Linked DNA regions of Anolis sagrei. The protein of the gene in region 1 purifies or fractionates together with the protein of each later gene. This does not show direct contact. Links are inferred from orthologs where the notes say so. Each region holds a gene or a part of one and is shown on either strand. Other genes may lie near its edges.

Region 1 (7,171 bases):
ACTGTTGCTTCTTGGTCCATATACAGATTCCTCAGGATAATTTATGCTACAACACCTTTAAAACTCCCTCCCTGAAATGAAGTGCATAAACCAGCAACATGATGAAAAGAAACTGAAGTCAAAAGTCTCCTGGTCGCTCAAGAGAACCATATCTGAAGACACCACAGAGAAGGAAAGGCTTCCTCCTTCTCCTCCCACTGTGTTTCATCTTCTGCTCTCAGTGGTGGCACAGTGGTTAAACCCCTGTGCCGGCAGGACTGAAGACCGACAGGTCGCAGGTTCGAATCTGGGGAGAGGCGGATGAGCTCCCTCTATCAGCTCCAGCTCCTCATGCGGGGACATGAGAGAAGCCTCCCACAAGGATGATTAAAACATCAAATCATCCGGGCGTCCTCTGTCCTTGCAGATGGCCAATTCTCTCACACACTTGCAGTTTCTCAAATTGCTTCTGACACGACCAAAAAAAGTGGTGACGCAGTGGGTTAAACCCTTGTGCCTGCAGGGCTGCTGACCAACAAAACGAAGGTTCCAATCCGAGGAGAGTGGGTTGAGCTCCCTCTGTCAGCTCCAGCTCCACATGCGGGGAGATGAGAGAAGCCTCCCACAAGGATGGTAAAACATCAAAACATCTGGGCATTCCCTGGGCAATGTCCTTGCAGACTGCCAATTCTCTCACGCCAAAAGTGACTTGCAGTTTCTCAAGTTGATCCTGACACTGAAAAAAATCTTCAAAGCAGGCACATTCCACCAGAGCCTTTCCACCTTGGCATCCTGTCTTTTCAAGTTGCTTTTCCTCCCAGGACAACCACCTCATTGGCTTGTTTTGGGCCCGCCTTTTGGCGCTGGGTTGCTGAGCTGACCTGCGAGGCTCGCCTTCCCTTCAGGGGAGGCTGCTTGTGTTGCTCTGCCCACACAACACACACCCAACACACACACACACCCTGAAGCCTTCACATTCTTGGTTAAGGATGCCAAGCCTATTGGGCTGGGCTGTTTTGTTGTGTTTTGAATCTGCTTCGGAATCTTGTTTCTTTTAATATGGCGCTGTGTGAAATCAGGTAGCACTTCCGGAAAACAAACGTTTTTGCAACATCTACAACAGGTAGGGGCAAACTTCGGCCCTCCTGGTGTTTTGGACTTCAACTCCCACAATTCCTTATTGTGGGAGTTGAAGTCCAAAACACCAGGATGGCCGAAGTTTGCCCCTACCTGTTGTAGATGTTGCAAAACCTTTTGCTCGACGTTAGTTAGTAACCAGACAACACATTCCTCACAAAGCGCGGGAAAGGAGGGAAAAGAGCTCTGTGGAATTACCAACCGAGCCTCGAATACCGGGTTGAAACTGCTCTAAATGGAAAGCGTAGATACTAGGGTCATAGCTCTCAATGCTTGATCAGTCCCATGATTTTGCCTCCATTCCTCATCTGTTGTTGTTGTTTTTTTCTCCTCAGATCTGAGCATGCGCTTGCAAACAGGTGGCTTCTCCGAGGTTTCAGTTCAAATAAAACAGACGCAGCCAAACACTTAAGCACGACTTCCAGGGTTTTGTTTTTTTCCCCTTGTCAGGAGCGACTTGAGAAACTGCAAGTCGCTTTTGGTGTGAGAGAATTGGCCGTCTGCAAGGACGCTGCCCAGGGGACGCCCGGATGTTTTGATGTTTTACCCTCCTTGTGGGAGGCTTCTCTCAAGTCCCCGCGTGGGGAGCTGGAGCTGACAGAGGGAGCTCATCCGCGCTCTCCCCGGATTGGAACCTGCGACCTGTCGATCTTCAGTCCTGCCGGCACAAGGGTTTAACCCAGTGTGCCACCGGCGTTGGAAGGTAGGGATCAAGGCCCCACTCCGGCGGAAGTGGGTCCAGCCTCTCCCCTTCCCTCCTTCCACACCTCCCTTCCCAGAGATGGAAAAGGCGCGACTCAAAAGCCAAAAGAGTTTGGAGCCCAAGTTTCCAATCCTACACTCACAGAGAGCCCCCAAAGGCCATCCAGTCCAACCCTTTTCCCTGCAGGGAAAGAACAAGACGATCCCTTCAAAAATGCCAGCCTGATCTGCTTTTAGAAGTCCAAAAAAGCTCCCAAATTGCAACGCCTTGGTGGGACTGGTTCTAAATATAGGGGAAAACTCGTGGTTAGAGTGGGTCCAGCCTAAAAAGGATCAGGTGAGACTCAGGGCCCTTCCACACAGCCCTATATCCTAGGATATCAAGGCAGAAAATCCCAGAAGATCAGCCTGGAACTGGGTTAACTGAGGGTCCTTCCACACAGCCATATAACCCAGAAGATCAAGGCAGAAAATCCCCCAATATCTGCTTGGAACTGGATTATCCGAGGGTCCTTCCACACAGCCATATATCCCAGGATATCAAGGCAGATAATCCCACAAGATCAGCCTGGAACTGGGTTATCTGCGGGCCTTTCCACACAGCCATATAACCCAGAACATCAAGGCAGAAAATCCAATATCTGCTTTGAACTGACCCTTCCACACAGCCCTATATCCCAGGATATCAAGGCAGAAAATCCCACAAGATCTGCTTTGAACTGGGTTATCTGAGTCCACACTAATGTGGGGTTTCCTGCCTTGATGTACAAGGTCCTGGGAGCTCCCAATGGCCACCGCCATCCACGCCAACCTGGGCACTCAGGTCTGAGTTGGGCAGGAGTGAAGTCCAGCCAAGCAGCCTCTAGAGGTATGCAAAGGCAGAGACCTCTCTATCTATGTGTACACTCTGGTGCTCCTACTCACAGCCTCCTCTCCTGCGGCTCCAGCTGCCGGTGCATGGCCAGGGAGAAGCCGAAGAGGCTTCCGGGCTCGCCGCTCCACAAGACCACATTGCCGACGTCCAGGTTGAAGGCGAGCGCCAGCCCCGGGAGGAGGGACAGGTACAAGGCGGGCGGCGGCCGAGGCAGCATGCTTAAGGGTCCCTGGAAGGGCCGGAGTCCCGCGGAGGAGAAGAAGAAGAAGAAGAGGCCCCGGGCTCACGGCTGCCTCCCTCTCTCCCTCCCTCCCTCTGAATGAGCCCCTTGTTCTCTCCAGAGACTCGCTCCCAGTGACGAAGGAGGGGCCGAGCTCCGCCCCCACAAACAGGCGCCGCCCCCTTGAAACCTCGCCCCCAACCTCGCCTCGCACTCTGGAGCAGACCCACGAGAGTCAGGCGGATCCACTGCGCGGTCGGCGCTCCTCCAGGGACGGATCCCAGGGCTTGTTGGGGGTTTCAGGTGGGAAAGCAAAATCTACTTGGCAGCTCCCGTGTGGACGGGAATCAACCACACTATGATCATAATATCATAATCATAATAATACATTTTGGGTTGCTGTGACTTTTCCGGGCTGTCTGGCCATTTCCCAGAAGCATTATCTCCTGACGTTTCGCCCACATCTGTGGCAAACATCTTCTGAGGTTGTGAGGTCTGTTGGGAACTAGGCAAGTGGGATTCATATGCATGTGGAATAATGTCCAGGGTGGGAGAAAAGTATATGTATGACTTTTCCGGGCTGCGTGGCCATGTTCCAGAAGCATTCTCTCCTGACGTTTCGCCCACATCTATGGCAGGCATCCTCAGAGGTTGTCAGGTCTGTTTGAAACTAGGCAAGCGGGGTTTATATGCATGTGGAATAATGTCCAGGGTGGGAGAAAAGTATATGAGTTTTCCAGGCTGCGTAGCCATGACCCAGAAGCATTCTCTTCTGACGTTTCGCCCACATCTATGACAGACATCCTCAGAGGTTGTCAGGTCTGTTTGAAACTAGGCAAGTGGGGTTTATATGCATGTGGAATAATGTCCAGGGTGGGAAAAAAGTATATGAGTTTTCCGGGCTGCGTGGCCATGTTCCAGAAGGATTCTCTCCTGACGTTTCGCCCACATCTATGGCAAGCATCCTCAGAGGATGTCAGGTCTGTTGGAAACTAGGCAAGTGGGATTCATATATCTGTGGAATAATGTCCGGGGGGGGGGCGGGGGGGGGGGCGGAAACAACTCTTGTCTCTTTGAGGCAAGTGTGAATGTTGCAATTAATCACCTTGATTAGCATTGAATAGCCTTGCAGCTTCAAAGCCTGGCTGCATCCTGGCTCAAAGAACTGAACTCACGGTGGTACCAAAGAATAAGTCCATTAACTCCTCTATGTGGCAGCCTTTTGACTATTTGGAAACCACTGTCTCTCCAACCCCCTCCTTTTATGTCCCTTCACCCAAAGAGGGTTGATTGACAGGAAGAGAAGGACGGGCCTTTTCTGTGGGAGTTGTGGAATTCCATCCCACTGAGGCGAAGACTAGCTTCACCCTTCATTGCATGTGAAGTGAACCATGAAAATATTATTTTTCTGCTTGGGATGGCATGATCCTTAAAATAGGTTTTAATTCTAATGCTTTTAATATATAGTTTTAATCTAGTGTTGATTTTTATGTTTTATTCAGTGTTATTCTTTCTTTGTAAGCTGCTTTAGAGGAACTTGTTGGAGTTGAAAATCTTATCCACTGGGATACGGTTCCAGTATGCCAAAATTTATGTATACTCAAGTCATTATATGCAATGACATAGTTCAGTGGTTCTCAACCTCCCTAATGCCACAACCTCTTAATACAGTTCCTCATGTTGTGGTCACCCCCAACCATAACATTATTTACGTTGCTACTTCATAACTAATTTTACTACTGTTATGAATCGTAAGGTAAAATATCTGATTGCAGGGTGTATTTTAATTCACTGGACCAAATTTGGCACACATACCTGATGCGCCCAAATTTGAATAGTGATGGGGTGGGGGTGGGGATTGATTTTGTCATTTGGGAGTTGTAGTTGCTGGGATTCATAGTTCACCTACAATCAAAGAGCATTTTGAACTCCACCAATGATGGAATTGAACCAAACTTGGCACACAGAACTCCCATGACCAACAGAAAATACTGGAAGGGTTTGGTGGGCATTGACCTTGAGTTTGGGAGTTGTAGTTCACCTATATCCAGAGAGCACTGTGGACTCAAACAATCATGGATCTGGACCAAACTAGGCACAGATACTCAATATGCCCAAATATGAACACTGGTGGAGTTTGGGGAAAATAGACCTTGACATTTAAGAGTTGTAGTTGCTGGGATTTATAGTTCACCTACAACCAAAGAGCATCCTGAACCCCACCAATGATAGAATTGGGCCAAACTTCCCACACAGAACCCCCATGAACAACAGAAAATACCATGTTTTCTGATGGTCTTTATCAACCCCTCTGACATCCCCTCCCCACTCACCCAGGCGTCCCTACCCCCAGGTTGAGAAATGCTGGAATAGTAAAATTGGGTTCCCTTCTATAAAATAGCAAAATTGAAGTGTATGTGTGTGTGAATATTTACTAGACGTGGAAGGTTGAATACTTGGATATGGGGATTCTCTCATATGTGTGTTTATTTCTTACCATACACAGTTTCAGTCCCCTTTTGCCTTCACAATAATCATGAAAGGCTATTTCAAAGACAGCAGCTCTCCCATGGTCACACATTGAGCTTCAAGGCTGAGCAGTAATTTGAACTGGGATTTTCCCATCCTTGGCTGCCCTTCGAATCCCCAATCTGTACAACGCATTGGCTGTTAATGAGAGCTAGGCCACAACATGTCTCATGAATGAGCTCCTTGTGCTCGCTCAAGCCAAAAACCCAAAGCCAACATGAAACTCTGAGTGGTTCCACATCCTTTGCTAATAGGTATATCGGTGTTGTGTTGACCTTTTCTGCTGCAAATGCCTAAGGCAGTTTTCTCCAACTTGGCATCCTGTGTTTCCCAGTGTAATATGTCTTTTTCAAAGTTTTTAAGGTGTTGTATTGATCTAATGGAACTATTCCATATTACTTTATTGTTCTTTTAATTGCACGTTCTTCATTGTTTTAATATTCTGAATAGTTGAATAAAGACAGTCCTTATGCTCTTAAGTTGAATTTGTATGTAAGTCAGAACAGATACATTTTAAAGTGTAGTTCCATATGTATTGCTGGAGCATGTAAAATCAGTTAGTGAGTGTGTTAACTGAGAAAGTTAATTGGTTGGGCTACACCCAAGAAATTAGCTGAGTCTGGGAGTTTAGGCAACAGTTACATTTTAAGGTTTTCTGTGCAAGAGCTTACCAAGGCAGTTAATATTTTCTGCTTCTGGGCTGCTAGAAGATGATCCTTCATATGGACACCTAAAGACCATTTGAATCTCTCTCAAAGGACATTGTGTGAGTCAATGTAACTGTTCACATGACTATATATATGTTGCTCTGCATAACAAAGAGTAAACACCTTATTCTTTACTGATCATCAGCATATCTTTTCTCTAGCAAGACAGTGTGTGGACTGGTAAAGATGTGAACTACGCGTGATTTTCATTCCGCCACATATATTACCTTTAGATAGCACAGGGAAGGATTAACACCCTCTAGTATTTGTTTTGCTGTCTGTGCCTCTGTTCAGAAGATTTCTGGCTCTCTGATCATTGGATTTTGAAAATTTTGGCTTGTTGTGGAAACAAAGGTTAGAGATAAAGTGTCCGTGGAGGCACCTTTTCCCCATGATAACAACAAGGACTGAATTTCCCTTCCTAGGGGTAGATTTCTCTCATTTCATGTTGTCTCATCCCCATTCCTAACTAGGAGTCATTTGTAAGTCAAATGTTCCTAGCTTGGGAATAGCTTATACTAATGTTGAGTTGTTGTGAGTTTTCGGGACTGTATGGCCATGTTCCAGAAGCATTCTCTCCTGACATTTCACCTGCATCTATGGCAGGCATCCTCAGAGGTTGTGAAGTCACAACCTCTGAGGATGCCTGCCATAGGTGCAGGCAAAATGTCAAGAGAGAATGCTTCTGGAAAATGGCCAGACAGCCTGGAAAAGTCACTGCAACTCAAAATGAATTATTATAATTATGATTATGATTATTGTGATCATAGTGCGTGGCTGCACCCTGAGACATTGATTCCCGACCACACCGGAGCTGCAAAGTAGCTTACTTTCCCACCTGAAAACCCCAAAAAGCCCTGGGATCCGTCCCTGGAGGTGCGCCAACCCCACAGTGGATCACAACCTCTGAGGATGCCTGCCATAGATGCAGGCGAAACATCAGGAGAGAATGCTACTGGAACATGTCCATACAGCCCGGAAAACTCACAACAACCCAGTCATTCCGGCCATGAAAGCCTTCGA
Region 2 (7,015 bases), about 48 Mb from region 1:
CTAGGACATGGACAATGGCTTCAAACTACAGGAAAGGAGATTCCACCTGAACATTAGGAAGAACTTCTTAACTGCGAGAGCTGTTCTGCTCCGGAGAGCTCTCTGCCCCGGTGTGTGGTGGAGGCTTCTTCTTTGGAGGCCATCTGTCAGGGGTGCCTTGAAGGCGATTTTCCCTCGTCTTGGCAGGGGGTTGGACAACTGGATGGCCCACAAGGTCTCTATGATTCTATGAGACCCAGGATCTCTTTGGCTGAGCAATTTAAAGGCCCTAAACTATAAGCCCCAGAATTCTGCAGGAGGCAGAAACTGGATTTAAAGTGGATTCATGCTCTAGTGTGACGAGGTCTGATTATAGCCAATAGACAATGATAGCCAATAGACAATTATAGCCAATAGAGAGATTGCCTTTTTATAGCAGCTGCACATGATGCTATCATTGAGCTATCTACTAAGATCGCTTTCTTGGTCACTCATTGATCAGCAGGAATCTTGACAATGTAAATGCAAATTAGGGATCATTTACCCCAAAGTGTTAGATGAAGCCATTTGCTTTAGCAGATGAACTCAAGTTGCACATTTAAAGAATGTTCCTCAATACAACTATTAAAAACATATCACGTATTTCAGTTACGATCCCTTCTACTAAAAATATTACTATCTACAAACTATTAATGTTTATTGTGAAGTTCAGTGGTGAATGTAGCATAGCAATAGCAGCAGCAATCCACTTTTACAAGTGTATTTAGAGGACAGCAGAACGTAATAGCAAAGGATTTGTTGTTGTTCATTCGTTCAGTCATCTCTGACTCTTCGTGACCTCATGGACCAGCCCACGCCAGAGCTCCCTGTCGGCCGTCACCACCCCCAGCTCCTTCAAAGCAAAGCAAAGGATACTGGACTTATTAAAAAAAATAGAAATACAAAGTATTTTGGAGACTATAACTTTTTGAGTGCTTATTTCAAGCCCAAGGCGTGTATGAAAAAAACAATTTTAATTTTAATTTGGAAATCTCACTGTAAATTATGCTGCAGTTCAGCAAACAGCTCTTGCCTTCACTCAGTAATCACCATAATTTTGTAAAGAATCAGAGCAAAGGCTGATCTAGTCTAACATTGTTTGTACAGCGGCTAATTAGATGCCAACGGAAAGCCATATCAGGAAATGAATGCATTAGTATTCCCTGCTTATGTCCCCTAGCAACAGGTACACAGAGGCATACTGATTTGGAGACTGTAATATATAGCCACCATGCCTAGTAGCCATTTTTAGCCCTTTGCTCCATAAATTACTTTAAACTTTTTAAATACTCATCCAAGATGGTAGCAAATGTTCTAGTTTTACTATGCACTATGTAAAGAAATACAATACAATCCCCTTATCCATGGGGTGGATATCCAGTTTCACTTCTCCCTGCTCCAAAACATATTCTACCTGGGAGTGTTGGCGGACCTCTCTCTCCAACGTGATTCTATGATATGCTTCCTGCTGAAATATAGTCAAAATGTAGGGTTTGCTATTAGCCACAGTTTAAGACATCCATAGGAGTCTTGGAACATATCCCCTGAGGATAAGGAGGTCATACGGTACTACTTTTTATCCATTCTTAATCTACAATTACATTTGGTTTCATTAGATTACCCTAGGTTCTAGTACTGCGAGAAATATCTGACTCATTTCTCTATTTTTTTGTGGGCACATTATGTCCGATTTATAGGGGCCTGAAGGGAGGATTTTCTTGGCAAGATTTGTTCAGAGGAGGTCTGCCTTTGCTATTCTCTGAGGCCTCTTTTACACTGCCATATAAAATCCAGAATATCTGCTTTGAACTGGATTATATGGCAGTGTAGACTCATATAATCCAGTTCAAAGCAGATAATGTGGATTATCTGATTTGATAGAAGCTTCAGTGCTGCAATGGGTTAAACCCTTGTGCTGGTTGAACTGCTGACCTGAAGGTCGGTGGTTTGAATGTGCGAGGTGGGGTGAACTCCCATCTGTCAGCTCCAGCTTCCCATGTGGGGACATGAGAGAAGCCTCCCACAGGATGGTAACACATCCAGGCGTCCCCTGGCCAAATACACAGTATTTCAAATTTAAAAGTCTCACCATAGATTTCTGTAGGGAAATATATTGGTAGTTTTATTTCCAACTCCTTTTCTAGATTTCACTCTCAGGCCCTTTCCACACAGCTGCATATATCCCAGTTCAAAGCAGAAAATGTGGGATTTTATTCAGCTGTGTGGAAGGGGCCTTGAAATGAACCTCATAAGACATTTTAATACACATCCCTGCAGTATAAACAGCCTTTTCGCTCTTTGCAACCTTTTTTGTTCTAAGTACCTAAATAATTTGGCATCCCCAGAAAATCCTGACTATATTCTTGCTCCTCCCAAGTTTTTTAGGAAGTTAAAAAGTCCCAGAGACCATGATTATATCCCTCCATTATGAGCACCCACTATTATGGCAACCCCACGAATCTCATGTTTGTTTTTTTCAGGCAGGGGATACTTGGGGTGGTTTTGCCAGCACCTTCCTCTGAAATAGAGCCTATAGACAGGCATGGGCAAACTTGGGCCCTCCAGGTGTTTTGTACTTCAACTCCCACAATTCCTGGCCTCAGACCCCTTCCTTTTCCCCCTCAGTTGAGGCCAGGAATTGTGGGAGCTGAAGTCCAAAACACCTGGAGGGCCCAAGTTTGCCCATGCTTGGTATAGCACCTATATTTGTTGGCAATATCCCATCCAAATACTCACTAGCGCTCACCCTCTTTAGCTTCTGAGATCAGATGGTGACTGGTGCCTTTTGGGGTGTTGAGGCAGGTCACTTCTTCTCTCTACCAAACTCTGGTCCTCCAGATGTTTTCAACTTCATCTCCTAGAACTTTAACAGATTGCTAAAGGCAGCTGAAGCTTCTGCGAGTTGGCAGTGCTAAACATTGGGTATTTAGCTGGTTCTCCTTACGCTTCCTAGAACCTGTCTCCTCTCCATCCCTTTCCTCCTGCTCTCTGCCAAACTGTGGTCCTCCAGGTGTTTGGGACTTCATCTCTGAGAATCCCTGATAGTTAGTCAAGGCAGCTGAGGCTTCTGGGAGATGAAGTCCCAAACACCAGGAGGAGGAGGAGGAGGAGGAGGCGAGTTTGGGAGCCCCTACTTTGGGATATTTACCTGGTTCACCTTACTCTTCCTAGAACTCGGCTCCTCCCTATCCCTTTCCTCCTGATCTCTGCCAAACTGTGGGACTTCATCTCCCAGAATCCCTGATAGTCAAGGCAGCAGAGGTTTCTGGGAGATGAAGTCCCAAATACTAGGAGGAGGAAGAGGAGGAGGAGTGTTTGGGAAGCCCTGCTTTGAGGTATTTAGCTGGTTCACCTTACCCTTCCTAGAACCCGGCTCCTCTCCATCCCTTTCCTCCTGATCTCTGCCAGACTGTGGTCCTCCAGGTGTTTGGGACTTCATCTCCCAGAATCCCTGACAGTTAATTAAGGCAGCTGAGGCTTCTGGGAAATGAAGTCCCAAAAACCAGGAGGCGAGTTTGGGAACCCCTGTTTTGGGGTGTTTAGCTGGTTCATCTTTCTTACCCTTCCTAGAACCCAGCTCCTCTCCATCCCTTTCCTCCAGGTGTTTTGTACTTCAACCCAGAATCCCCGATAGTCAAGGCAGCTGAGGTTTCTGAGAAATGAAGTCCCAAACACCTGGAGGAAGAGGGGGAGAGGAGAGTTTGAGACCCCTGCTTTGGGATGCTTAGGCGGGCCACCAGGGCCCTCTTCTCCCAGAGCCAGACTCATCTGCCATCCTCTCCTCCTCTTCCTTTCCCCACTTTCCCCAAACTCTAGTCCTCCTGTGGACGACCTCTCCCAGCATCCTTGATGATTGTGCAAGGCTGCCGAGACCTCGGGGGGGGGGGGGGGGGCGAGCGTGGGTGAAGCCCTGCTTGGGGGCCTTGGGGCGGACCTCGCAGGGCCCAAAGGCGCCCTCCCCTCTCCTTCCCGGGCTCCGTGGGCGGGGCCAGGAGGGCTCCCTCCCGCTGGGCGTCCCCACCGGCGGCGAAGAGAGGCCCGAGCTGGCTCCATCCGCCAAGAGGGCTGGCTGGCTGGCCTTGGGAGGAAGAGGAGCAGGAAGGAAGGCAGGCAGCGGGGGAGCGGCTTTGCCTTTGCGCTGCGCCAGGACTCGCCGGGAGACAAGGTGCGCCGAGGGGGAGCCCTGCAGGAAGGGAGGTGGGGGGCGCAGGGGAGAGCGGGGCCCTTCTTTCCATGGTGGGGATCCAGCCTGGCTTCTTGACCCATTTCAAGAGGCCGGGAAGGACCCGCGACTCGCCCGGCAAACTTCCAGAAAGTGGGTCCCCCCCCCCCCCCCCCCGCCTTGCCTCCCTTTGTCTCTCCGGATGTCTTTGTGAGGCAAGGAAGTGGCCTGCTCAGCCCACGGGTTGAGTCAGATTGCAAAGCAGCCAAAGGTTAACCTGGTTCACATTTCTCTTAAAATCTCCCTGGGAGGGAATCTCTAACTCATGATTTCGGGATCCAGGTGTGGTCTTCTGCCCCTGCGGCGGGTTTTTCCTCCTCTTCCCTTCTTGTAAATCTCAGGCGGTCTACGTTGGGTGGGCTGCCTTGCTTTGTTTTGGGAATGGGAAAGATCACCCAGCCCAACAACAAAACATTCCTGGTTTCTAAGGGGAGGGGGAAAAGGAAGGGGCCTGAGGCCAGGAATTGGGGGAGTTGAAGTTCAAAACACCCGGAGGGCCCAAGTTTGCCCATGCCTGTCTATAGGCTGTATTTCAGAGGAAGGTGCTGGCAAAACCACCCCAAGTATCCCCTGCCTGGAAAAAAATGAAATTCATGGGGTTGCCATATTTAGGGTGCCCACTGGATAGACCGCATCACCTTTAGTGTCTTAGGCAGGCACGGGCAAACTTGGGCCCTCCAGGTGTTTTGGACTTCAACTCCCACAATTCCTAACAGCCTACCGTTGAAGTCCAAAACATCTGGAGGGCCCAAGTTTGCCCGTGCCTGCTCTTAGATATCGTTGTCAAGATTTCTTATGGGCAGGCAGATGGCGACTGGTAAATAGTACATATTCCCCAAATAAATAGTTCCCCAAATAATTCGCCCCCCCCCAATTTGATCCATAATCAGATCCCTTTTAGAGACATAGTGCTCCCCTTACATTGCCACCAAGTTTCTAATCTTGTCATCTGCCCTCAGCACTTGATCCATCAGCCCCAACCCCTTTGCAAGGGATTTGCACCAGCCGCCGCCTGAGCTCAGAACTGTGCACTACTCAGACCACCTGATCTTATTTTTCTGGTTATTTAATATTTAATGTTTATTTTACTTAAGTGGTATTTGTCTTTACTGTTCTAATGTAGCACAAATCCGATGTAAAATCATACTACGTATTTTTGACATTAATATTGAAATCTGAAATATATACAGAAACTCCTTGCTAGATAGATGTTTGCTATGTATTGTATCACACGTGGTTGTTTCTATACTGTTGAGATGCTTTTGTGAATTTTGTTGTTATATTTTAACTACTAGCTGTACCCACCATGCATTGCTGTGGCCAATCTTCCTCTTTCTTTCCTTTCTTTCTCTCATTCCTTCCCTCTCTCTTTCCTTCTTTCCCTTTTTTCTTTCCTTCTTTCCTTCCTTCTCTTGATCTTCCCTTCCTCCCCCCTTTCTATTCCTTACTCTTTCTCTCATTTCTTCCTTCTCTACCTATTCTTGGACTGCAGCTCCCACCAGTCCTTTTGATCAATCTACCTACCTACCTATCTCCATCTAATCTATCTATCTATCTGGAGGATTGCTGGGAGTTGCACTCCAGGAATAGGAAATTGTAAATATGCAGGAATTGGGATGCTCTCAAAGAAATCTAGGGAGAAGAAAGCTTTGTATCTTAGAAGCAGTGCATTTGGATCATCCTCCTCTCCTAAAGGGCCTGGTCTAGGGAATGCTGGGAGCTGTCATCCGGAAGAGAGTGTGGATATGCTATTGTGTGTTTTGTTTAGTGGGGGGGGGGGGGTGTGGGAGGGAGTTTTTATGAGTGATGGTCACTCGTTGGCCTGATAGGCATATTGTGTCCAAATTTGGTGTCAATTTGCCCAGCGGTTTTTGAGTTATGTTCATCCCACAAACAAACATTACATTTTTATTTATATAAATGTGGAATCTCGAGCATGTAAGCCACCCCAAGTCCCTTCAGGGAGATGGAGGCAGGGTACAAAAATAAAGTTGTTGTTGGTGGTGTTATTATTCTGTATTTCAAAAACTAGATCCAATGAGAAAAAAATTGTGCCATCTTTGGAATCAGTAGGTCAAATCTACAGAGAAACAGGGCTAACATTTGAGGCACCAAAATATGTGTGGCCAGTGTAATCTTTCTCTGCCCACACCTAGCCAAGCTTGTGGTTCTCAACCTGGGGTCCCCAGATGTTTTTGGCCTTCAACTCCCAGAAATCCTAACAGCCGGTAAACTGGCTGGGATTTCTGAGAGCTGAAGGCCAAAAACATCTGGGGACCCCAGGTTAAGAACCACAGACAGTCCCCCAGTTACAAAGTTTTACAAAGTCCCCAAGTGTTTCCACTTTCATAGGTGTCCTGAACCCTTAACCTCACCAAATGAGGAAGGAAGGATGGCTGTACAGGAAGTCCCCAAGTTACAAGCAACATAGGTTCTGTAGGTTTGATCATCAGTTGAATTTGTATGTAAGCCGGAACAGGTAAATTTTAAAGTATAACTCCTGCCTACACACACACACATGCATTCACACACATATGCATATACATACAACTTTGGCTAGCATAGGGAAGGGTTAACAGCCCTGTGGTGTTTGTTTTGCTGTATGTTCCCCTGTTGAGAAGATGTCACCTCACTTTCTGTCCCTGTAGTAATTTGATTTTGAAAAATGTGGCTTAGTAACAAGGATTGGTAAGAAAACTTCAGTTGAGACACCTTTTCCCCATGATAACTTTTTCAGGGGTGAACTTCCCTTCCAAGGGGTAGATTTTTCTCACT

What was found. Proteins that work in one complex are often made in the same cells at the same time.
Region 2: the proteins of ITGA6 (region 1) and CD151 purify together in Homo sapiens (co-immunoprecipitation; 3 studies listed by BioGRID and IntAct, with this or other methods). This does not show direct contact. The link is inferred for Anolis sagrei from reciprocal best matches to the Homo sapiens genes ITGA6 and CD151.

The regions. Positions count from the first base shown.
Region 1 is NC_090021.1:193,438,585-193,445,755, forward strand, and holds the start of ITGA6 (integrin alpha-6), read right to left. Parts: upstream 3,023-7,171; 5' UTR 2,910-3,022; coding exon 2,743-2,909; intron 1-2,742. UniProt on the Homo sapiens protein: Integrin alpha-6/beta-1 (ITGA6:ITGB1) is a receptor for laminin on platelets. Integrin alpha-6/beta-1 (ITGA6:ITGB1) is present in oocytes and is involved in sperm-egg fusion.
Region 2 is NC_090021.1:241,272,368-241,279,382, forward strand, and holds the start of CD151 (CD151 antigen), read left to right. Parts: upstream 1-4,002; 5' UTR 4,003-4,183; intron 4,184-7,015. UniProt on the Homo sapiens protein: Structural component of specialized membrane microdomains known as tetraspanin-enriched microdomains (TERMs), which act as platforms for receptor clustering and signaling.